Linked DNA regions of Sus scrofa. The protein of the gene in region 7 interacts with the protein of the main gene of each other region in a pairwise test. Links are inferred from orthologs where the notes say so. Each region holds a gene or a part of one and is shown on either strand. Other genes may lie near its edges.

Evidence for each region.
Region 1: the proteins of HOMER3 (region 7) and WIPF1 interact in binary tests that used the Homo sapiens proteins (3 or more experiments, as listed by UniProt). The two-hybrid records come from large-scale screens. The link is inferred for Sus scrofa from reciprocal best matches to the Homo sapiens genes HOMER3 and WIPF1.
Region 2: the proteins of HOMER3 (region 7) and FRYL interact in binary tests that used the Homo sapiens proteins (3 or more experiments, as listed by UniProt). The two-hybrid records come from large-scale screens. The link is inferred for Sus scrofa from reciprocal best matches to the Homo sapiens genes HOMER3 and FRYL.
Region 3: the proteins of HOMER3 (region 7) and EAF1 interact in binary tests that used the Homo sapiens proteins (3 or more experiments, as listed by UniProt). The two-hybrid records come from large-scale screens. The link is inferred for Sus scrofa from reciprocal best matches to the Homo sapiens genes HOMER3 and EAF1.
Region 4: the proteins of HOMER3 (region 7) and SNRPF interact in binary tests that used the Homo sapiens proteins (3 or more experiments, as listed by UniProt). The two-hybrid records come from large-scale screens. The link is inferred for Sus scrofa from reciprocal best matches to the Homo sapiens genes HOMER3 and SNRPF.
Region 5: the proteins of HOMER3 (region 7) and MOS interact in binary tests that used the Homo sapiens proteins (3 or more experiments, as listed by UniProt). The two-hybrid records come from large-scale screens. The link is inferred for Sus scrofa from reciprocal best matches to the Homo sapiens genes HOMER3 and MOS.
Region 6: the proteins of HOMER3 (region 7) and ABI gene family member 3 interact in binary tests that used the Homo sapiens proteins (3 or more experiments, as listed by UniProt). The two-hybrid records come from large-scale screens. The link is inferred for Sus scrofa from reciprocal best matches to the Homo sapiens genes HOMER3 and ABI3.

Annotation. Positions count from the first base shown.
Region 1 is NC_010457.5:80,643,663-80,647,610, forward strand, and holds the start of WIPF1 (WAS/WASL-interacting protein family member 1), read right to left. Parts: upstream 2,801-3,948; 5' UTR 2,648-2,800; intron 1-2,647. UniProt on the Homo sapiens protein: Plays a role in the reorganization of the actin cytoskeleton. Contributes with NCK1 and GRB2 in the recruitment and activation of WASL.
Region 2 is NC_010450.4:38,397,599-38,401,098, reverse strand, and holds part of FRYL (protein furry homolog-like), read left to right. Parts: intron 1-710; coding exon 711-728; intron 729-1,528; coding exon 1,529-1,639; intron 1,640-2,633; coding exon 2,634-2,824; intron 2,825-3,153; coding exon 3,154-3,412; 3' UTR 3,413-3,500. UniProt on the Homo sapiens protein: Plays a key role in maintaining the integrity of polarized cell extensions during morphogenesis, regulates the actin cytoskeleton and plays a key role in patterning sensory neuron dendritic fields by promoting avoidance between homologous dendrites as well as by limiting dendritic branching.
Region 3 is NC_010455.5:2,661,329-2,664,828, forward strand, and holds part of EAF1 (ELL-associated factor 1), read left to right. Parts: coding exon 1-94; intron 95-3,342; coding exon 3,343-3,500. UniProt on the Homo sapiens protein: Acts as a transcriptional transactivator of ELL and ELL2 elongation activities.
Region 4 is NC_010447.5:87,614,434-87,617,148, forward strand, and holds the end of SNRPF (small nuclear ribonucleoprotein F), read right to left. Parts: intron 1,525-2,715; coding exon 1,460-1,524; intron 854-1,459; coding exon 787-853; 3' UTR 501-786; downstream 1-500. UniProt on the Homo sapiens protein: Plays a role in pre-mRNA splicing as a core component of the spliceosomal U1, U2, U4 and U5 small nuclear ribonucleoproteins (snRNPs), the building blocks of the spliceosome.
Region 5 is NC_010446.5:75,738,207-75,741,576, reverse strand, and holds MOS (proto-oncogene serine/threonine-protein kinase mos), read right to left. Parts: upstream 2,176-3,370; 5' UTR 2,003-2,175; coding exon 965-2,002; 3' UTR 501-964; downstream 1-500.
Region 6 is NC_010454.4:25,438,963-25,441,809, reverse strand, and holds the end of ABI gene family member 3, read right to left. Parts: intron 2,696-2,847; coding exon 2,610-2,695; intron 2,419-2,609; coding exon 2,323-2,418; intron 2,141-2,322; coding exon 2,013-2,140; intron 1,427-2,012; coding exon 1,289-1,426; intron 968-1,288; coding exon 804-967; 3' UTR 501-803; downstream 1-500. UniProt on the Homo sapiens protein: May inhibit tumor metastasis. In vitro, reduces cell motility.
Region 7 is NC_010444.4:58,912,537-58,916,748, reverse strand, and holds the start of HOMER3 (homer protein homolog 3), read right to left. Parts: upstream 2,801-4,212; 5' UTR 2,593-2,800; intron 2,065-2,592; exon of another isoform or gene 1,928-2,064; intron 1,075-1,927; exon of another isoform or gene 1,031-1,074; 5' UTR 967-1,030; coding exon 953-966; intron 865-952; coding exon 708-864; exon of another isoform or gene 655-707; intron 449-654; coding exon 317-448; intron 1-316. UniProt on the Homo sapiens protein: Postsynaptic density scaffolding protein. Binds and cross-links cytoplasmic regions of GRM1, GRM5, ITPR1, DNM3, RYR1, RYR2, SHANK1 and SHANK3.

The DNA.
Region 1 (3,948 bases), on a different chromosome or scaffold from region 7:
CAACTGTGACCTGATTCACATATGTGGGTCCTGGTTATTCACAAGGCATAAGCCTACCAAACCTTCCAGCACTGTGGCATCACTGTGGCATCACTGTGGAATGTTGGTCACAGTGGCAGAGACCTCTGTATGAAAATCATTAGGAATTTGGTAGACCTCAGGCTTCAGGAAGACGATGGCTCTGGGAGGCAGAGTCCTAAATATCAGATGCTTAAAGTGAAGGGGCTACAGCAACAACCAAAAAGGTACTTTGCCTTCTGTTCTCCTGATGTGCACTGTAGAAGTCCTATCCATAGTTAAGAACACCCTGAAATAACCAAGACTGTGACATAGAGCCAGGGATGAATACTCCCCTCAAAAGCAGGCTCATCCCTGAGCAAAGCAACTGAGACAGTAAGTTTAACAGGTAAAGGGATACCACTTTCTCTCCACCAGCCCTGTCCCACTCCTTTAGCTTCTTTTTTTTTTTTTTTTTTTTTTTTGCTTTTGCTTTTTACGGCCACACCCACGGCATATCCCAGGCTAGGAGTAGAATCAGAGCTGTAGCCTCTGGCCTATGCCACAGCCACACAAGATCAGAGCCCCATCTGCAACCTACACCATAGCTCACGGCAACACAGGATCCTTAACCCACTGAGCAAGGCCAGGGCTCGAACCTGCAACCTTGTGGTTACTAGTTGGATTTGTTCCTGCAGAGCCGAGACGGGAACTCCCCTCCTTTAGCTCTTTATTGCTCTCATGTCATGGTGCTACATACTGCATGGTGCCCCTCTAATGCCTTGTGCTGTGCTGCTTTTTGCTGCTTCACACACCATTATCCCACTTGATCCTCACAGGATGAGATGGAGAAAGGGCAAAGGTTATCAACTCCATTTCTTGGATAAGTGAGGCTCAAGTTGCACAATACACATGATATGCCTAAAGGACCAGAAAGTGACACTTAATTGGTGAAATGAACAAACAAATGAAAGGCATGAATCTCTACAGCTGGAAATAATCTCACTGTCTCTAAATGAACCCACATCTGATCTTACCTTGCTTACAAATCTTTTTGCTCTACATCACAAAAACCTAAGAGTTTTTGTGCTGCTCAGGGAGCCAAAAAAGATGATGAGGTTACTAGAATAGTCTAATAACCACTGCAAAGTCCAGTCTGCACAATTCCACTCAACGGGTAATGGGCTGCTACAGGTAGCTGGGGATTTGGTCCCTGAGACTCAGCCCTGTGAAGATGACAGATGAGTCAAGATACACAAGAGGAGAAAGCAGTCTTGTGAGCACTGTAAAGAGGAATTAAGATGCAAATGCCAATGGCCTATGCTGATTTTCTCACCTCCAGAAGTCCAAGGGTATTTCATAAAAACTGAAAATGAAAACTCTTTGGAGTTATTTTAACCGTTAACAGAAAAAGGCTTTTTCTGAGGAGGAAAAATATGCCAACGACTCAAAATGAAGCTACAGTATTGTTTTGGAATTGCCTTGGGAAACTGGCAAAAGAAAACCCACCCAGGGTGGGATTCGGTCCAGCGGCTCCGCGGCTGCACCGCCTAAAGTCTGGGACTACACTCGGCCAGTGATTGGGGGTGGAATCCAGTGACTATTCAGGGGACAACGGTGTCACACAATTTTCACAAAATGGGACCAAGTCCACCCAGTCACTGCTGACAACTTGAGAGGCTTCCCAGAGAACTGAGATAAAGTCAGCAGCCCGTGGCCCAGGAAGGAATATGTATTCCTCTGGGATTAAGCAGGACCAGAGGACCTGGCCAGGCTCGGTTCCTCACAGACACACCCTTTGTTAAGCTCCAGGAGTCCAAAGTCTAACCACGAGTTGAAGATTTGGGTCGCCCGGATTGGGTCAGCTGGTTTCTCTTACGCTTGCAACTTTCTCTAACAGTACTTTAAAAAAAGAAGAAAAAAAAAATATGTTAACAGAAAAAGTAGAGGGAGTGAGACTGAAGTGAAGCCGTTCCGAAAGTTCCGGAGAGGCCCTGGGGGGAAAAGAGCTGACGGGGACTGGACGTCCTTTAAGGTCACCGCACACATCTAACGCAAGCGTCTACACTGCCCGCAGCGCGAGGCTCAGCCTGGGGCACCCGGCGGGAGGCGAGTCTGGGAAGCCGCGTTGCGGGATGGGCACAACTCCCCTGAGAAGAAGCAGAGGCAGCTCCCTGGCAGAAACTGGCCTCGGGGTGCCCTAAAGTCTCCATTCGCCTGTCATGGGTGGGGTAGACGCGGCCCCAGCGCATCGCAGCGAAGCCCCTGCCGTGGGTACCTAAGCCGGGAGCCGGGCCGAGCCCCCGGGTGGCCGGAGATCTGCGGAGCCCAGCGGCGCGCCCAGCCCAGAAGGCGCCCGCGTCCGGACCCTCACGGTCCGCCGCCCCTTCCTTCTCTGCCCGCGGGTACTGGACGCGCAAGCCGCGGGGCCCGAGTCCGCCCCTCCCGAGACCGCGCGCCCGCCCCCGCCCGCAGCGGACGCAGCCCCGACGTCCCCGCGGCCCCCGCCCGCGCCCACCCGGCGCCGAGCCGAGATGCCCAGCCCAGCCCTCCTCGGGGTCCCTGGGGGCCTAGAGGGTCTCCACGGGCGCTGCCCTGAGTCCCCGGAACCCGGTCGCGCCCTTGGCAGCGGCAGCGGCGCGTCCCTTACCGTGCAACGGCTCCGGGCAGCTCCAGGGCCCTGCGGCGCGCCGGGCATTTTTCTTAGGGAAACTTCTCCCCGGTTCGTAGGGCTGAGCCGGCCGGGCAGGAAAAGCGCTCAGCGCCGGGAGGCTGCGACCATCCGGGAACTTCGCTGGGATGTAAACCCTCCCCCTCGGCTCCCCGTCCCCCCCGCCCCCCCTGCGGCCCCGCCGCATGTGGACGCGCCGCGAGGCCGCTGCCGGCCCTTCGCCTCCTCTCTGTGCGCCGCGCCCGCGCTGCCTGGAGCTGAGGCTCTGCGCCCCACGGCCTAGGGCCTCGACGGAGCGTGGCAGCAATGGGGCGATTGGAAGCTGGGGCTCCTGTGTCGCTCCTTCCCCTCCCCTGGGTTTGCAAAGAGGTGGGAACTGGAAGGGGTGTCCAGCTCCAGGGCCCTTTCCTCCGAAGACTCCACAGCTTCCCGCTGTCGGGGTCCCTTCACCACCGCCATCACCACCCCCGTACCCGACCCCCCGCAACCCCAAGAGAGGGAAAGACTTTTCCCGGCCTTCTCTGTCCTCAGAGAGTCCGGCTTGGAAACACCTTAAATTGAAATTCATCTTAAAAAAATGAATTTTAAAATGGAGTGGCACCCACAAAGACCCAAGGTCCACCTGCATCTTTCTCTCTGCCCACTGTGTGGGGACAGCAGTGCTCGTCTTATGGAAAGAAGGCAAGTCCCCCCACCAAGAACCAGCAGGATTCTCTGAGTAGTTCCACTCCTAGTAGGGATGTAGCTAATCAGCCACCCACATCCTCAAATATGGTAGCACCAGCAGCAAACAGTTGGAGAAACCTGAGGTTCTACGCCATTGCCGGAGCTGTTACTGACCAGCTCTGAAAGCGGCCACCTCCAGGATCCAAGCACAAGCTCACACTAAGACAACACAGATGTTAGAATCTATGTGTTTGAAAAGAACAACAAATTGTGATCGATATAATAACCATGTAATCATATTACATGGTTAAAATGTTAAACCATTAAAATGGTTTTCATGTTTATTCATGTTAAAATACCAAGGCTGTATATCCCTCGAATAAAAGCAGGACAGGTGGGAATACATGCACTTCAGAATGGATGTCCTAGCTTGAAGAGGCCCTTCATCCTTGACTTTAGGCTGTCTGCTTGTAGGCCAGTCCCCATGTGCACCTTTGCACCTTGACATGCTCTTAACAGATACAATAATTCTTCTGGGAAAGAGATTTAGTAACATGGGTAAACTTCTCAATGACAAACTTTTGTCCCTGAATGAACCCATCTTTGGGTAAGCT
Region 2 (3,500 bases), on a different chromosome or scaffold from region 7:
GAAACCTGGATGTATCTCTGTATATTTTACATTATCTCCTTAGATTCAAACCCAGTTGGGCTGAATGTCTGAGGTTGAGCTAAATTACACTCGGAATGTAATTTAAAACACAACTGCTCTCAATAATTTCTGATTCAGCACTAATTATGGCAACGTAGGACTTAATTAGACAGTAAAATGGCAGGAGACCTAGAATGAGTCACACTAGAGATAATCCTCTCCTGGGCAAATTCTTATTATATAAAATTATAAGCCAATTCCTTCCTGCAGTTCATTTCATATTTTCTAATTAAAAGTTTTAGAAATTGACTACATTTACCCCCCCTCCTTTTTTTTTTCCTGGAAAGGCTATAAAAACCGAAATAGAAGACCACTTTCAATAGCCAACTTTCCAACAATCCCACTACTTTGATTTTATTCCTTGTAGCTTCTGCACACAAAAAAATAAAACCATTGCCTAAAATGTAATTCAGCTATTATTTGGCAAAGAGTTAAAAACACCCTGGATTGTTACAGTACATGTCTAAAACGTTTGAGTCCAGAAACAGCATCATCCATTTTTCTTGAGGGTGTAATTAAATGTTCTTCAAATTAAATGTGCTTCAGTTTGCCTGGGACATCTGTGACCCTAGTTAAAATGATTTCTTACACTAATTCTTGGTCTTTTTCTTCCTTTGTATTTTTTGTGACCTGATCACCTTCTTGCTTAGCAAATGGAAATTCTAGCAGTAAGTGACCTGTCTTAATTTATAGACTACTTATCCGTGTCAGACAAACTGGTTTTCATTTGCCATTTGTGACCTAGCAATGTTTTGTCATGGACTGCTTTAAAAGTAGCGTGTGCTTCAGTTTCGCATAGCCCTGATTCATGAAACGTTTCGGTCCTCCAAAGATAATGAGGTCTTACAATTAACACGTACAACTAGCAGTTCCCTTTTTGCACATCTCTAACTCATCTCCTTTCAGATTTCTTAATTTCAAAAATCCAAGTGCGTGTGTTAATTTCATTATCTTGCTCCAATGAGATTACAAAGTGGCTTTTTGAGCAAAAGGAATTCATTTTAAAGACAAAAGTGCTCTTCCTTTTTAGGCGAGAGGTTATCTAGCGTTTTACTTTTTGCATTATCAAGCAATTGTTGATAAATGCAGCTGAGGTGTACATCTCAGTGTGGCAAGAGTGTATGCATTTGTAAATTCTTTCCATTATGAATTTAAAGTTTTAAGTTCTCGTGACTCCTTTTTGAAGCATTCTGTTTACTGCCTGCTGAAAAATTCTCTAATATGAAAATGTGCTTCACACTAAAAATGATTTTAATAATCTTTAAATGTTTATTTTAATCCCAGTCTTCAGAGCACCTTTTCACCTGACTTTCATCAACTTCACACCATATTAACTTGCTTACTGCAGAACCAATGCCAGGACAAAATTTAACATAATTATTTACTTGTAAATTCTTATTGGAAATATGTTGTCTAGTCATGTATGGAAAATAACACCTACATTTAACTCAACGTTATTTATTTCTAGGAACTGGAGCTCTGCCGAAGGTTATACAAATTGCATTTTCAATTGCTGCTTCTGTTTCAAGCCTACTGTAAACTTATCAACCAAGTAAACACAATAAAAAACGAAGCAGAGGTAAATATTCGGTTGCACCAGGTACTACTAGCTGAGTCTAGAAAATTAAAATATATACATACTTATTTCTTTGTAGGAGTGCTTGGATCAAAAGTCGTTTATGGTGAATCTTTTTTTTTTTTTCTTCTTCCACTTAACCCTCATTGGTTTTTGAAATGGTGTGCCATTTCAGGACCTTGTAGTAAATCTGATAGCAGATATCCAGCAGTCTTAAAAGGTTCAAGCCCTTAAAGGTCACAGCAGCAGCGATAGATCATCTGTAATCAAAAATCGAGTAAAGCACAACCCTTCAATAAAGACGAAATTGTATTATGAAACCCCTTTAGAGGGCCACATAGTATTTCTATAGTTCTAGTAACACAAGAATAAACAGGTCAAGAACCCTTCAAGTGTTAGAAATCATGTTACAAGTAGGGACTTTAGTCTTTTTCCCACTTGTCAACCACTGGTACCATCACTGAGTTGATCATTTTCTAAAATGGCTAAATTTACTTAAAAAAAAATACATATACTGGTTTATATAAAATACCCTGGGTAAATAATCTTTTATAATACAAAGACTTCTCTTACTGTCAAAAATTTTTTTCATGATCCTTCCACAATTCTAAGCCTACTGTTACAAAAAAAAAAAGGAAATTATTTTTTACTATCCAAGATGAAGTGCATGTGTGTATATATATATATATCACATATTAACACCAATATAAACATTGGTTGAGACCTGTTTTACCTATTACCATTAACATTCATTATATTTAAGACAATCTGTTGTTTTATCACACGTATTTAAAGACGACTATCTAGTGGCTGAAATTATTCCAACTGAATAGAGAACTTGAAATATTAACTGCCCATAAAGACTGTGTTTAACAACTAAAAATCATTTTTAAATGAAACTACCACCACCATCAGCTGTAGCCTCACAGCCGCGTCCATGCTCTTTTTGTCTCTGAATGTACACATCGATCTTTTCAGGTCTATTTCTGTGTTTTAGGTCTTCAACATGTCAGAGGAACTTGCCCAACTGGAAAGTATCCTCAAGGAAGCCGAGTCTGCCTCCGAAAATGAAGAAATTGACATTTCCAAAGCTGCACAAACTACTATAGAAACTGCCATTCATTCTTTAATTGAAACTTTGAAAAATAAGGAATTTGTATCAGCTGTGGCACAAGTCAAAGCTTTCAGGTAAAACGTGAAGGCATTTATAGGAGATGTCTTTATGCTGAATGGGGAGTTTACAATGAATGGATTTGGGTTTTCAATTTGATGTTCCAATAGTCTGTGGAAGGAAAACATGACTTTATTTTGTACAGTTATCAATGAAGTAACACCAATTTTAGAGTTTGTTCACACTCGGTGATACCTTCAATAATATTTGCCCAAATGTTAAAACAGATCCTCAGTGATTGATAAGGAAATTTTGTTGTTTTTATACGTATTCACGTAAAGGTAGTTAATCTTCAGTAGTAATTGCTTTGCATCTCAGGACTTAAAAAACACTGTGTATTTTTCAGATCTCTCTGGCCCAATGACATCTTTGGCAGTTGTGAAGATGACCCTGTCCAGACACTGTTACACATCTATTTTCATCACCAGACGCTGGGCCAGACAGGCAGCTTTGCGGTCATAGGCTCTGACCTGGACATGTCAGAAGCCAACTACAAATTGATGGAACTCAATCTAGAAATCAGAGAGTCTCTCCGCATGGTGCAATCATACCAACTCCTAGCACAGGGCAAACCAATCGGAAGTTTGGTGAGCACTGGATTCTGAGAAATTTCAGGAATTTAGGGAAGACTAAACCGAAAATGATTAAGAATATTAAGAAGCACCTTTTATGGACCCTTGCAACTCACTGATG
Region 3 (3,500 bases), on a different chromosome or scaffold from region 7:
TTCAGAGCTCCAACAAAGCCGCCAGCTGGACCCAAAACATCTCCTTTGAAGGACAACCCCTCACCTGAGCCTCAGCTGGATGACATCAAAAGAGGTAGAGAGCATTTTCTAGAGCCATGAAAGCAGCTTGCAGGAGGGTGTTGATGTTTCATGGCGATTATAAGGCTGCCAGTCGTGGTGACATGGGCATTCTCTGCCATTGTCACAGTTTCCACAGAGCTCAAAATTCTGCACTTTGAGCAAAGGGGCAGGGGCTTTACCACTTACCTCCTTTAAAACAGTGACTTGAGTTGTGGCTGTCTTTGCAGCTTTCTGTTTAGAGGCCTGGGGTTTAAACAAGCCTGACTACCATCTGAAAGTCCATATGGCGCACCTTTAAGCCTCTGGAAGAAGAAAAGTCCAAGGTGCTGGGGGTGACAACCAAGTGTGCCAGTGTCAGCATAGGGTCTAGGTTAAATCCTATGGCCGGCACTTTGTGCCAACACAAGGTGTGTAAGCATGAAAGCACCCTGTGGACCAGTGGGTCTGGACCCTGGCCTAGGAAGACTGAGAGGCCCTCCCCAGTGCAAGCCCAAGACATAGACACTCACATACCTTGGCTTTCTCCCTCATACAGTACATGGTTTTAATTGTCCAGACTCTTAGGAAATTAGGAGGGTAGGTGTCACATTACGTTTGTTTTATGAAACAAAATTAAACCCATAATAGTAGTAAACAGGAAAAGATAAAAAGTGGCCCTTGGGAAGTTTGCCTTTTCTACCTTGTGGAAATGCTCTCTTTTAGCAAACACTATCAGTGTGCGTGGTGCCAGTTGTTAGGCTCTTGATTTTTTTTTTTTTTAGGGTTGCACCTGCAGCACGTGGAGGTTCCCAGGCTAGAGGTTGAATCGGAGCCGCAGCTGCCGGCTTAAGCCACAGCCATAACAATGCAGGATCCAAGCTGCATCTGCAACCTACAATGGAACTCACAGCAATGCCAGATCCTTAACCCACTGAGCAACACCAAGGATTGAACCCTTGTCCTCACGGATGGTAGTTGGATTCGTTACTGCTGAGCCACAGCAGGAACTCCAAGCCCTGGATTTTTTTGTTCTTCATGGATATTGGAATGCTGGTGTGTAGAATTTTTCAGTTTAGTTGAACAGGAATTGGACCATGAGAGGTTAGTTGTCACCAGTTATGCTAAAGGAACCATTGTTGTTTGGCCACTGTTAGGTTTGAACCAGAAAATCTGGCATCTTCCATGATGTAGCCTATGGTGAATCCCTAATGTGCTTTCCAGCATTGAAATGTAAGGGAAAACATGTGTTTCCTTCCCTGCTTTACAGTCATAATAAGGCAGTGCTTGAAGGTGTGGCTGTCAGTTGAACATGTAGAGAGGATGGAGCAGGAATGTTCTCCTACTGTCTTTCTTCAGCTACCATGTCCCCTCCTGCAAGCCTCTGTGTACGTGTGGGATGTGAAAGCTAAGAAGGACCCCAGAGACTCTGGCCCTTCCTTTTTTTTTCTTTTTTTTAAAAATCTTTTTAGGGCTGCACGCACGGCATGTGGAAGTTCCCACCTAGGGGTCAAATTGGAGCTACAGCTGCCAGCCTACACCTCAGCCACAGCAATGTGGGATCTGAGCTGCATCTGTGACCTATACCACAGCTCACGGCAACGTTGGATCCCCAACCGACTGAGCGAGGCCAGGAATCAAGCCCACGTACTAGTGGGTTCGTTACAGCTGAGGCACTGCAGGAACTCCTGGCCCTTCCTTTTTCCAGAGCATTGGAAAATTCATTGCCTTCCACCTAGGTCTCCCTGCTGGTGAAGGTGGATCTTGATTTTTTTTTTTTTTAGGGTTGCACCTGCAGCACGTGGAGGTTCCCAGGCTAGAGGTTGAATCGGAGCCGCAGCTGCCGGCTTAAGCCACAGCCATAACAATGCAGGATCCAAGCTGCATCTGCAACCTACAATGGAACTCACAGCAATGCCAGATCCTTAACCCACTGAGCAACACCAAGGATTGAACCCTTGTCCTCACGGATGGTAGTTGGATTCGTTACTGCTGAGCCACAGCAGGAACTCCAAGCCCTGGATTTTTTTGTTCTTCATGGATATTGGAATGCTGGTGTGTAGAATTTTTCAGTTTAGTTGAACAGGAATTGGACCATGAGAGGTTAGTTGTCACCAGTTATGCTAAAGGAACCATTGTTGTTTGGCCACTGTTAGGTTTGAACCAGAAAATCTGGCATCTTCCATGATGTAGCCTATGGTGAATCCCTAATGTGCTTTCCAGCATTGAAATGTAAGGGAAAACATGTGTTTCCTTCCCTGCTTTACAGTCATAATAAGGCAGTGCTTGAAGGTGTGGCTGTCAGTTGAACATGTAGAGAGGATGGAGCAGGAATGTTCTCCTACTGTCTTTCTTCAGCTACCATGTCCCCTCCTGCAAGCCTCTGTGTACGTGTGGGATGTGAAAGCTAAGAAGGACCCCAGAGACTCTGGCCCTTCCTTTTTTTTTCTTTTTTTTAAAAATCTTTTTAGGGCTGCACGCACGGCATGTGGAAGTTCCCACCTAGGGGTCAAATTGGAGCTACAGCTGCCAGCCTACACCTCAGCCACAGCAATGTGGGATCTGAGCTGCATCTGTGACCTATACCACAGCTCACGGCAACGTTGGATCCCCAACCGACTGAGCGAGGCCAGGAATCAAGCCCACGTACTAGTGGGTTCGTTACAGCTGAGGCACTGCAGGAACTCCTGGCCCTTCCTTTTTCCAGAGCATTGGAAAATTCATTGCCTTCCACCTAGGTCTCCCTGCTGGTGAAGGTGGATACACAGCAAGGGCTCGGACCTTCCAGTTCCTGGCCAGGTATTTCTCATCCCCTGAGCATGGCATTGCTCTTCTCTTATTTGATGTTTAAATAAAGATTTAATTCACAATCTTTTTTTTTTTTTTTCAAAGTAGATAAAGGCAAAATAAACTTAATTCATTTTTAGAAGAATCATCCTGAAGCAATTTGACTTTTGGTTATTTGGATGAATTAAATGTTGCCATTGTCTCTCTGGAGACAGGTTAGATGTTTTTGTTTGTTGGTTTGGGTTTTGGTCGTTTTGTTTGTTTGTTTTTTGGCCACGCTCACGGCATGTGGAAATTTCTGGGCTAGGGATCGAACCCATGCCATAGCATTGACAATGCCGGATCCTTAACCTACTGCACCACCGGGGACTCCATTGTTTGTTTTCAAGGAATTGGGAAACAGTTCATTTTCAGTTATGCCACGTTGCTATGGGTTTGGCCAATTTACTGTTTATAGAAGGCTTGATGTGCTGACCCTTGTCCTGTCGTTTATTCCAGAGCTGAGGGCTGAGGTGGACATTATCGAGCAGATGAGCAGCAGCAGTGGGAGCAGCTCCTCGGACTCCGAGAGCTCGTCGGGAAGTGACGATGACAGCTCCAGCAGTGGCGGTGAGGACAACGGCCCCGCATCCCCTGCTTCACACCATCAGCCGTAC
Region 4 (2,715 bases), on a different chromosome or scaffold from region 7:
GTGTAATAATGGCATTCTCTGACATGCGAGTTTAAATAATCTATTTTTTTCCAACCAGTCCAAGAAAAGTTCACAGAGTAGATTTTATCACTGTGGAGTATACATTTTCACAATGCACAACTCTGAAACACTGGTTTTGACGAGTTTAACACCTGCAGGAAAACCAGTAGCTGATGTTCTCTGAACACAACTACAGGACTGATTTTTAATTCACATGAAGGAGTTCTGTCGAGAAAATCTGGTTCTCTCATGTGAACTATATGCCTTCAGACTAAATATCAGTTCACAATTTCTTTTGTGTTATATAGTCAATCGTTTTAATTTTCAGGGAATGTTTCAATTTTAGCTGTAATATGTACATCACTTAGCTTAAGTGATAGAGAATTAACATGTAATTTACTGACTACTAAATAATAGGTTATATTAATTCTAAGAAAATATTTAAATTTATATATGTCAAAAGTGGCTCAAAAATAACTTTAGAAGACACAGTTGCTTTTAAAAGGTCTCAGTTAATATATAATCACAAGAAAAGGGCTGACATTCACCTCCATAGACAGTTATAATGCATAAGTTTCCCTAACGCTTTGGGCTTACATGAAAATCAGCTTGAATAAAGCTGGGTGGCTTTTACAGCAGTAGTTCTGTGAACACTCTTTCATCTGTTGCAACAGTTGAGCTCTGCATGTAAATATCTGAATATGAATAGCTCAGAATCAAATTGAAAAACAAACACATCTTTATTGTCTACAAATATATATAAAAAAAAATCTCCCCCAAAAGATGCTATTCTCTCATTTCCCCATCTTCTTCTTCTTCTTCAACACCCCTGATATAAAGGACATTATTACACCTGTAAACAGAAAAACAGTCCATTTTGTTGTTCCAACCAGAAACCACATAAGATCTGAATTATAACTATTATTCTGTTTTTTTATTACAAAAATGCAAATGCTAAAATTACAATATATCATCTCTTTTTAAAATATTTACATTTGATTTGTTTTTTTTTTTTAAAAAAGCATATATATTTTTACCATGAGGCTGTTATAAAATGGTATCTTTACAATCTTCCCAAGGGAATAATGACTAGAATTTGGAGGTATGAAACTAGTTCTAGAAAATAAGTATAATACATATCTCTAACAGCAGCCAGATTCATCTAAAATTCAAAACCAAGTTTCAACTACTGAAACCACTCAAAAAGGTACAGTTAAGAGCTAGAAAGTTTAGTATCACACTAGAAAAATCTTAAGAGTGAACAGCTCCAAAATATGTCAGTCTGCTTTGGCAAGTTTAACAATTTCAAGACCCTTGAAGTCTGGTTGTAGAATATTATGTTGATTTAATAATGATTTTTTTAAAAGTAATTGAGACTTGGGCACTAATTAATTTACTTGAGCAGGTATTTCTAATGGTCACCAGTAACTCCTTATATATACGACTACTGTTTTCTTACCTTATTAAAACTTCACCCAGATGTCCAGACAATGCTCCATCTATGTATTCTTCTGTGTTTGCAAGCTTTGAATAAAAAGAAAATATATTAGTATAATTATACAGGAGGAAAACACCTAGTATCGGTGAGAGACCTTACTAACTAAGATCTTTTGGTACCAACAACTCACATTTATCTATAACAATTAGAAGATTAGCCTTCTACTACTGCAGTACTTTTTGGTTTCAGATAAACATTCAGTAATGTTAACACTGATGGGTGTACAACTAATATAATAAAGTTCATTTCAACACAATTTTTAAAATCTCTCAGTTACGTACTATTTCTTTCTATTAAACATTAAAATGTGTCAAGGAAGAAGCCTTCAATTTATAAGCCATGAATAATTCAGTTCTAAAGAACCAGACATTAACTTTTCTCAGAGTAAGAGCATATATATCATTTGAGGAACCCAATGGGCACAAAATCTATGGCTAAAATACCAAATACTTTTATATTAGTCAACAACCAAACCAAAGAACTGAATAAGAATTTTAAATTATGTGCTAATAAACAGGAAAAAAAAAAGTTCTTAAGAGGAGGTTAAATTAAGAGTGACCTTTATAGTTATTTCATTAATTTCTATTATTTCTAATTGTACATCAAAATGTCTAGCTTTCCTTCCATGTAAAGGAATTTAAACTTGTAATTTAAAAAAATTACATTCAGTGCTACTGGGACTCACAAAAAAAATGAACAGGAGAGAAATGAAAGACAGAAGTTTCCTTCATTGACTAGGCAAGTGGGCAAAGGGAAAGAAAAATAGGGCTTAGAGAGGATGTAAGATAAGGCATTTAAAACATGAATTAATAACGCTACTGGATATTATTCCTTCTATAAAAAGTAACCTTTTACACTCAGAGGAATGGTTTTGTCTGAAATTGCTGTCAACAATTAATTAGTTTTGTATGTAATAGCTCTCAGAAATTATGTTTTAACATCAACTAACTTTTAAAAAAGTGATTATTACTGGCAGATATTCACCAATATTTAAATGGTTTCTAAATTATATGATAATGCTCCAGGAGTTCCCGTCGTGGCGCAGTGGTTAACGAATCCGACTAGGAACCATGAGGTTGCGGGTTCGATCCCTGCCCTTGCTCAGTGGGTTAAGGATCCGGCGTTGCCGTGAGCTGTGGTGTAGGTTGCAGACGCGGCTCGGATCCCCCGTTGCTGTGGCTCTGGCGTAGGCCGGTGGCTGTGGCTCCGATTCGACC
Region 5 (3,370 bases), on a different chromosome or scaffold from region 7:
AACTTCATCAGTTCTCTTTGTCCCCTCTTTATTCTGTCACAGATAAACTCACTTCCTTTATCCTAAAAGTAAGCTAAACCAAACCAACAAATCTCAAAACGTTTCTGCGCATCTTAACCCCCTTCAAAGTTTTCTGCTTCTCCCTTCTTAACAGTCCAAGCACAGCTTCTACATCAAGCCCTTGCTGAAACTCTGTTGCTAAATAGAAGTCAGTTTTGTCCTCATGACAAGATCCAGTCACCTCATTTGTCAAAAATCTATGCGTAGCCATGCCCTCCATGTCTAGACTGGGCGATCTGCTTCCACTTCTCTGTTCTCCTCCAGCTAAATGTTAAATTCTGCTCTGCTGCAGGGCTATCGTATTTTCTCCCATCACATCATCTTTGTTTTGTCGTCTACTTTTGAGTCCAAACAACAGGAAAAGGGCCCCAGTTTAGAAGTTTTAGCAAAATTTCTACTCATGGCACGCAGAAGTTTTTAAAATATCACAATCACAAGAAATCATTTAAAGTATCATTCCTTTTAAAAACAAGCTTACCTCAACTTGCGAACTGTATGTGTGAAGATCATTAGAAACAAGTAGTTTTGGGGGAAGAGCAGGAGGGAAAAATTAATCTTTGTTTTTTAGCTTATTTGTACGGGAGCAAGTAAACTGTTAACAGACCAATAACAAATTTGAGTTAAGTGCAGTACTATGGAACTGCAAGGAAGCACAGTAGCTCTGAAGCAAACACAGAGCTCTGTAAAGGGAGAAGGAGAGACACCACTAGATTTCTAGTTCTGCTGTTTGTCTTAGGAAAAGCATTTGGGGTGAAAGGAGTTTTTGGTAACTTTATTTTCTAAAAATCCATCCTACCTCTATGTTTTTTGTTTTTGTTTTTGTTTTTTTTTTTTTGCCTACATCTTCTCTTGTTAAAAATGAACAGCAACAAAGACAAATGCTTATCCGGCCACACGTTTCGGGTCAGCCCAGTTCAGCTTGTAGAGCGCGAAGGTCCAGCAGGAGGAGTTGTGCGCTGGGCCGCTGCTGCGCAGGGGCCGTCCAGCCGCACTGGATGATGTCCTCCAGTTTCTTCCCAGGGACGGACTCGGTGAAGACCGCCGCCGAGAGGGACGGACGGAGATTGTAGGCCACCACCGCGTAGAGCACGTGCTGACGCTCCCCTGAGTAAGGCACCTGCCTAGTGGTCATCTGCCAGAGGGTGATGGCAAAGGAGTAGATGTCCGCTTTTGGGGTGACGGGCTCGCCTTTGAGGAGCTCGGGGGCTCGGTGGGTGTACGTGCCGCCCAGGTGGTGCCGAGGCCGGAAGCGCAGATCTTCCAGCCTCTCGGAGCAACCAAAGTCGCTGATTTTGCAGACGTCCTGCTCACTGATCAGAATGTTCGCTGGCTTCAGGTCCAAGTGCACAATGCCTTGGGAGTGCAGGAAAAGCAGGCCACTGACCACATCCAGGGAATACTTGAGACACTTCTCCAAGTTCAGTTGCTCCCCAGCACTGCAGGGAGGCCCATCCTCCTCTGGACAGCCCGTAGCGCCGTAGATGACCTGGTGTAAGGTGACGTTGCCGCCGAACTCCATGATGATGCTGCCCAGGCTGTCAAAGGCCGCGGGTGTGCGCGTGCTGGCGGCCACCACGCGCACGATATTGGCGTGGCGGAGCCGAGCGATGTTGAGCTCGGCCCAGAAACTGCGCTGGGATGCCAGCCGGTTCTTGGTGCATCTGCTCACCTGTTTGATGGCCACAGGCACGCCGTGGTAGGTGGCCTTGTATACCGAGCCGAAGCCCCCGGCTCCCAGCCGCTGCAGCAGGCACACCTGTTCCCAGTCTATTGAGCACCAGGCCAGCCGGCGAGGAAGGCGCAGGGCCCGGGGTGGGGTGCCCCCCAGGAAGAGCTTCCCTGTCGGCCCCGGGAGCTCGCAGGGGCTGCTGCAGGGCCGCGAGTCCACCGACGGGGAGAAGTCGCCAGGCAGGCACCGGCGCCGAGGGAAAGGTGAGGGCATCGCCCTGCGGAGGGCAGCCCGCCGCGGCTTGGGTGGGATAGGAGGGAAGAGAAGACCCAGCGGGCGGGCGTGCAAGCATCACTGACCACCTGCCGCTCCGCGCCCCGGCCCAGCGCTTTTCTCCTCTGCCTCCATCTTCCGCAGATGAGCCACATCTGTGCTGTTACTCAGCGAGGGTTGTTATCAGATGGGGAAACAATCTGAACGAAGCACAAAAATCCCGCTCAGATGAAAGCATTTCCCTTTAGCACTTAAAGTGAACTCCTATGAAAACAAGCCCCGGAGAAGCGTTGACTGGATAAGCGGCCCTAAGCTGCCCCAGAACTCACCCACTTTTACACTGCTGCTTCTCTTATCGTAACACAGGCTTCCCCCCCAATTCTCATCCGCCGAGCATTATCAGTCCACCACAACAGTGCAATGAAAATATTCCACACTTTGCAGGCTATAATGATTGTCAGTTTATTCTCCAGCTGCATTAAATCACTGCCAGCAGTTATTGGCAGAAAGAGTTGAAACATCAACAGCTGAGCTTTTTTAACCGATTACAGGGAAAATTAGGTGCAACGTTCATATATGGAGAAAAAAACAGTAACAAAGTAATCGACCCAAACAGAATCACTGAGTCAGGTCAAAATACAAACCTCTTAAATTCATCAGGGAAAAGGAAAATTCTCTGACAGTCCACTCAGCTTATATAGCGAATTAGCAAGACTTCTTAGCAATGTAAAGACTCCCTAGCAATCCTTCCGGTCCATGGCAGTCCGGCCCACCCAGGAAGCTCCCTTGCAGAAGAGATTCTAGACTTCACAGCAAATGAGTTACAGAAGTTTTGAAGCAGAGTTAGGGGAGGAAAAAGAGCAAAAATGATTCAGAGCCATGACCAGAGCTTCAAATAATAACAAATATGAGAGTATCCTAGGAGAGGAAAAATCTGAAGAAATAAAAATGGCACAGAACCACTATTGCCTTCCTATAATGTTGAAAACCAGATGTTGAAATTAAATCCAGGGTCTTGCTGTCCAACCGTTAGTTCTTCCATTCTAATTTTTATAATAAAAAACTAATTTTTATTCCATACTTTTGGAAAAAGACCGATAATATTACTCTGTTCATTAAAAAACACGGGAAAGGTGTTCCCAGGTGGGTCAGCAGGTTAAGGATCTGGTGCTGTCACTGCAGTGGCTGGATCACTGCTATGGCACAGGTTTGATCCCTGGCCTGGGAACTTCCACATGCCACCAGTGCAGTCAAGAAAAAAAGAAAGAAAAATGAAGAAAAACAACACTGGAGAATGGTAGTGTCTACATTTTGAAACATCAAATGATGAAAGTTCTATCATGACTTACTGCACTTAGGGCATGTAGG
Region 6 (2,847 bases), on a different chromosome or scaffold from region 7:
ACACCGTCCGGCCCCGGTCCAGCCCTCAGGGGACCTCGCAGCACCGCGTCGGTGTCTTCCCACACCCCAGCCTCGTCTATGCAGCAGGAGACCAGGGACTTAACCAAAGTCGGGCCGGCTGGGCCCTCTGTGCCCCGCTCCTCCCGTATGAACCAGAAAGCCATGATGTTTTAAAGCAGAGCCAGCGAAACCCAAGCCCTTCTACCCTCTTGTGTTTCAGAGCCATAAAGGAGGTGGTGAAGGGGCCGAGGTGACTGAGATCTCTCGCGCCGCCAAGACTGAACACATAACCCAAGCAGCAGGCAAAAGAACAGTGCAGCCCATCGTGGCAGAGCCTCTAATGTAGGGGGCTCACTGAGACACCCCCCCGGGGGGGTGGGGGAGATAACCCACTGCTTGGGGCAGGCAGAGGAGCTCAGCAATTAGTGGAGGTCTTAGAACTGGAGAGCCATTCAACCCCTCTTCCCTCTGTCCCCCCAGCCCTTCAGGGCAATCACCAGGAGCTCATCACGCGTTTTATTCAAAGTTGGCACTTGCAACTGGAGACCCTGTCCTGCACGGCATTAAGCATCCTCCGTGGATAAGATCACCAAGCTCCTTGGCTTCCAGTTCTTTTCCTGTCTGCAGTAGAGCTCTGTGTACTTCTCCCCAGAGCCTTCCCACTGCAGCGGGGTGGTGGGGAAGGGGCAGTCACAGCTCATGGCCCCAGGAGGTGTGCAGGTCTAGTCCAGGCTTCACGAGAGCTGGCTCTGGCATGGGGCTCATGGCAGTGCCTGGGTCAGCACCCCAGAGATCCCTGGCTGTCAGCAGCTGGGCTCCACATAGTTCCCAGGGAAGAATCCGGAACCCTCGGAGCTGACGCCCTCACACCAGCCATCAGAGTAGCGGCGGGTGATGCAGATAACGGTGCCCTCAGAGAAGGAGAGTTCGTTGTCCTTCTGGCCGGTGTATGGGTACAGCGTTACCACTGCAGGGCGGGAGGGGAGGGTGCCATGAGATGTGCTTCCTGCAACCATGGGGATGCTGGCGCCCTGCATGCTAGACTTTAGGGAGCAACTAGGGGAGAAGGCTGCAGGGAGTGGGGCAGGAGATGCCTTTTCCAAAGGCCCCCCCGCCCCATTCTTCCCCAGCTGAGCTAATAATGAGGCCAGCTGCTTCCTTTGCAGGGGGTGGGGTGCAGACCACCTTTGCAGAAGGGAGGGGAGGATGACACTGCGATGGAAGAGTTGGGTGGGGGGAGCCCTGAACCCAGGATCTGGTGCCCTTTCCCGTCTCAAGAGTCAAGTACCTTTCTCCAAGTATGCATCAGGGATCCAGCTAGGCTCTTCTGGCCCAAAGCCTGGTGGGGGTGGAGGTGGAAGCCCCAAGTCGTCTACATCCAGGGGTGGAGGAGGGGGCAGGTCCAGGGGGAGGGGCAGCTCTGGGGCTGAGAGGGAAAAGCAGAAAGGCTGCCAATGTGACAGGGAACCTGCCACTCTTTGAACGTCACTGTTCAAAGAGCAGGGCTCCAGGGTTTATCCATGTTATTTTTTGGCCAAGCCTGTGGCATATGGAAGCTCCACTGTGCCACAAAGAACTCCAAGGATCTACTCGTTTTAGGTAATCTGCCTCTTACCCTCGTTCATCCTGCTCCTCCCACAATGCCTAGCAGGCAGGAGGTGCTTAGTAAACACTGAGTGACGGTGAATCGAATCTTGTAGGGTGAGCAGACTCTGCCACTTAGCTTGGTGAGCCTGGGGCAAGTCAATTTAACTCTCAAGCTCAGCTTCTCTTAAATGGGAGTGTGGAGATTCTCTTAGGGTTAAGTTTAAGTGGGAAGGTGGGTGAGACGCTTCGCCCCCGGGGGCCTGGTATAAAGCAGGTGCGCTCAACTACGTTCGCTTCCCCTTCCCCTTACGCCTGTTGCAAAGCATCCACGGAGAGGCCCAATTGGATCCAAGGGGTGGGGAGAAGTGTTGGGGTGAGGCAACGACCCCAAAGTTGAGCTAGGAGGGGAGGGCGGAGCTCCTTACCCGGCGGGGGCAGGGACAGTTCCTCCAGTGGAGGGGGCAGCAGGAAGACGTCGGAGGCAGCAGGTGGAGGGGGCGGAGGTGCTGCTTGCCCCTTGACCGCGGAGACACCACCGACCCCTTCAGCGCTGCTGAAGACCAGAGAAAGGGGGGGGGGCTTAGGCTTGACTGGGGGACGCCCTCCCTAACTCGGCATCAACTGGCCCCGCCCCTTTAGTTGTAAGCCCCGCCCTTGTTCTCCTGTGGCCTCTCACCGCCCCGCCCCGCCCCCCCCCCGCCCCAGCCATCCTATTTTTTGGGCCCGTGGGCTCACCCGGCCGAGGCCAGGGAGGAGGCAGAGGAGGCGGCGGAGAGCTTGCCGTTGGGCACCACGGGGGGCTGCACCGGCTCGGGGATCCGGGGCGCTCTCCTAGGGGTGGAGGGGAAGGGTGTCAGCAAGAGGGAAGGCTGCTGGCAGGCAGGGGGTCGGGACGGGGAGGAGGTGGTAGCTGGCAGCTGGCAGCTGGCAGGAGGAAGTTTGGCGCCCGGCTTGAAGCGAGGGTAGGGGAGTCGAGTTTGTGGACTTGGGCGGGGCAGGTTAGGATCGCGGCGAGGCCTCACCCGAGGGTGGCGGAGGCGGGTGCGGCAGGCGCCTTGATGCTCTTTCGAGACAGGGTCCCGGTCCGAGACAGCTGCGTGCTCGAATCCTGCGGGTGGAGGGGAGGGGAAGCAGGGGGCGGGGCTGACTCGTTGCCCCGCCCCCACGCCGCCGTGGCCCCTCCTCCCGGAGAGGAAATGGGGGAGGGGCGGGCGAGGGCCGGGAGAGAGAGCGTGGCCACCGGCAAGTTCCCGCTTCCAC
Region 7 (4,212 bases):
CAGCTGAGGGTAGAGGAAGTTGATAATGAAGGTAGTGCTAGCGTGTGTGGGGAGGAAGCACATCCCAGGCATCCAGGGAGGGGCAGGTGCTTCTGAAATCAGAGCAGGCAGGCAACAGAGCTGGGATGTGAACCAGGGAAGTGGGAAGGGGCCACTGGCTTGTCTAATTCTGTTTTCTTTCTGCTTGTCCAATTCTGTATGCCCATTCTGCAGCTGGAAAAATGGAGGCCCAGCCATCTGTCCAGGGTCCCCCAGCACCCAAGAGAAGACCCATCCCTAGCCCCGTTCCTCCCACCATGTACCCCCACAGGCCCACCTGTGTCAGATGCTGTTCAGAAGCAAAGCCAAGGCCATAGACAGTGTTGGCGCGACTGTCTGCCCACTGCCCGAACTTCTGGGAGGTTTTGGTAAAGGTCATGTTGGGGGTGACAGTGCTATTGATGATGGCCTGGGGGGGAGGGTAAGCAAAGTTCATGGTTGATGGGAACTGGTAATAATGAACATGAACCCCTTCCCCGGGGGGTATCACTTTGTATTAGCACCTCAGAGGTCTTTGGCCATTTCAAGAGGAAGATTGAGGCCCAGAAAGACTCAGGGCACCCCCCCACCACCCCGTGCTCCCAAAGCACACAGCAAAGCAGCAACTGAACCCACCCCTGTCACTGGGATCCTTGGCACCTGGCACCCCACCCAGGCCCCACCAGGACCTTGGCACCCCCAAGGCTGATGATTCGGTAGACATTGCGGGTGGCATCGTAGAAGTAGGAGACAGTGAGTGCATGTTTGCCCGCAGGGATCCAGTTCCGCTTAGTGGCCGGGTCGATCTGGAACACATGCGCCCGAGTGCTGAAGATGGGCTGCTCCCTGGTGGGGAGAGGGTGCTCAGTGGAGGCCAGGCAATGCCCCCCATCTCAGAAGACTAAGGGTCAAGCTGGTAGAGGCAGAGGCTCACCTGGCTGTGGACATTGGTCAGGCTGGTCTGTGGGCTCCAAGGGGCAGCCAGAAGAATGGTAGGAGCTGCTGGTTTGGCCTTTGCGGGGAGAAGGGGGGCCTGTGAGTGTCCCCCAGGCCAGGCTGAGGGAGGCCAAGCATGTCCAACATCAGGACCCACCACCAGGTTCACTATTCACAGAGCTTCAAGCTCAAAGTTCTCAGCAAAAAGACCCCAACTCTCCCCATCTAGAAGAAGCCCTTGCAACACCCTGGGCAGGAGACTACCTCTGATAGGAGCCAAGTGGCTCCTACCAGCATAAACCTCTCATCTTCTTGGTTATTAGACCCCCAGTGAAGTCTTCTTAATCTCTGGGTTGGGCTGAGGAGGCCAAGGCCAACTCCTGTGTAGTACTTCCTGACACATTCATCCATCACTCCCAAAGCAGAGCCTCCATCAAAAAGTGGGGCATTGGCAGGTGCCTACTGGTAAACCAGTCCCCTTCTGGACCCACAAAGAGACCCCTCAGCTTCCACCTTAGGGCAGAGGCACACCTCAGAGTCAAAGCCCCCAGGGAGCCCTCAGCCTAGTTAAAAAAACAAGATGTGGCTAAACAGGTTCAAGGTGGTGGCCTCCAATCACCACTCAGTCCGCATCACCTCTCACCACTTAATCTGAACACCCTGGGGTTGGGGGGGGAGTCCTAGGGGAGGACCTGGGGGAAGGGGGAGGCAAACTAAGGGAAGAGAGGCCCCGACCCAGCAGCCTCCATGGTCAGAGGGGGAATGCCCCCCTCCTCTGTCCTGGGCAGCTGCTGTCCCGGTCACAGGGTCTGAAACCGGAGCCCCTGGGTGGGGGAGGGGCAGCGACTTTGGCCAGGGTTGGGGCTAGGTCCCGGGTTGAGCCAGGGTTCCGGGCGCAGGGGGTCCCAGAAACTCGGGCCTCCCTGCCCGGATGCTCCTGCAGCGATTCTAGGCGTTGGGGAAAGTTACTCACCAACTAGTCATGCGCCTCGGACGCCGCTGCTGCCGGCAGCGGGGCTCCCAAAGGGGGGCCTGACCCCGCCCGGTGTACTGGATCCACAATCGCGTGAGGGGGCGAAGCCCCACCCCAGGAACCCCAGCCCAGGGGATCTGAGGAGATACTCGCTCAGAATCGAATCCCCACCCGTCAGAAGCGGGGTGCCCCATGTGCGCCCCAAATGCAGGAAGTGCCATCCCGGACCTTGGTATTTCCAAGATCCCTGCTACGCCTCCCCCCCTCCCCCTGACTCCGGATCCAGAACTTCGGGGACGTGTTATCTACCTCCTGCAACTACAGGTCCAGAACTTAGGGGATCCTCCCCGCTGTCCCTGGCTCTTGAACTTCGGGGACCCCTGCCACCCTTCCATCCCCAGGTCTGGAATTTCGGCGTCCCCTCGCGCCTCCCCTCCACCTTAGGTCCGGAATTTGGGGAACCCGGCGTACTGTGCCCTCCTCGACCCCGACTCCGGAACTTCGGGGTTCCTGTGCCCTCTCAAGCCCTGGAACTTCGGGGCTCCCTGATCCGCCCCCAGCCTCCGTATTCGGAACTTCGAGGACCCCCGAGCCCTGTCCCCAGTCCCAGAACTTCGCGCCCCCAACCCCCTGCACCCAGTGCAGGCTCAGCTATCCAGGCTCACCCTGACGGCTCGGCGCCCCGCAAATGTCCGGGCGCGAGACGGGTGCGGCCCCACGGCGCCGACTCCCCGAAGCCGGGCGCCCCGCTCGCTCGCTGGCTCCGGGGCCCGCGCCCTCCTCGCCGCCCGCCGCACCGCCCGCGCCTTTGTCTGCGCCGCCGCCGCCGCCCGCGCCGCCTCCGGTCCCATCGCGGCCGGTCCCGACGCGGCCGCCGCCCGCCCCGCCTCCCCGGGCGGCCGAGGCCGTCCCGCAGCGCCCCCTGCCGGCCCTCCGCGGCGAGGGGGAGAGGGAGGGGTGGGAGCAGGGAGGAAGTGGGGAGGATTGTGGACGGGATATTAAGATGGGTACAGAAGGGGACAGGGGATGCAGTGGAGACAGAGACCCAGACCCAGAGACAGAGAGATGGAGGAGGGAGTCAGAGACAGGCCTAGGTGGACAGAATAGAATGTGGCCTCATCCTTTGTTCAAGAGTGAGCCGGACCCTCCCCATCACTGCTGCTTTTGCCTGTGATGGGGGGTCAAGTCCCTCTTCACCTGATGGGAATCCAGAGGCAGCGCACATCTGACGCCTTGTGGGTCCAGGCGTCTGCACACGGTAGGAGCTCAGTGCGTGTTTCTAGAAAACCAAAGAGACTTGGGCGGAGAGGGGCCTAGAAGAAGGTGAGAGAGAGGCAAACAGTAGGCACTTAAGGGGCTTGATACAGGATGCCCTGCTCAGAATCCCTGCCTGCTTTCCCATCCCACCCTGATCCCCCCAAACAACTGTAACAATGCTAGTGAGGGGAGTTCCTGTTGTGGCTCACCCCAAACAAACCCAACTAGTACCCAGGAGGATGTGGGTTCCATCCCTGGCCTCGCTCAGTGGGTAAAAAGATCTGGTGTTTCTGTGAGCTGTGGTGTAAGTCTCAGATGGGCCTAGATCTCAGGTTGCTGTGGCTGTGGTGAAGGCCTGCAGCTGCAGCTCTGATTCAACCCCGAGCCTGGGAACCTCCATGTGCTGTGGGTCAGGTGTGGCCCTAAAAAAAAAAAAAGAAGAAGAAAAGAAAGAAAAAGAAATGCTAGTGAGGTTGGGTTAGGATTATTGTTGCTGTGTTATAGGGTCCAAAGACTGAGGTGGAAGGAACATCATTGTCCAGGTCCCACCAAATGAGAAAATTGCCTGGAGGCCCACAGGCCTGCATTTGCCACCTCTGGTCAGAGGGAAGCCACCCCTTCATACGCTTGCTGGGAGAGGGTCCTTCTGGAACTGAGTTCAGTCTCCCCTGATCCGAGCCTGCCTGTGGGGCCCCCTTGTCAATCCTATTATCTGCCCTTTCCCTGGAGACTCCTCCCTCCAAAGTCACACAGTGCCACCGAGTTCTTGGACAGAGCACTGAGGCTCCTCAGAACCTGCACTTCCCTGAAGCTTGGAGACTCACTTGTGAGCTTTCTCAAACCTCAGAAGTGTTTGCCATTTTTTTTTCCCCTGTCTTTTTAGGGCTGAACCTAAGGAATATGAAAGTTCCCAGGCTAGGGGTCCAATCAGAACCATAGTCAACACCAGATCAGAGCCACATCTGTGATCTATGTCGCAGCTTGTGGCAACGAGGGATCCTTAACCCACTGAGCAATGCCTGGGATTG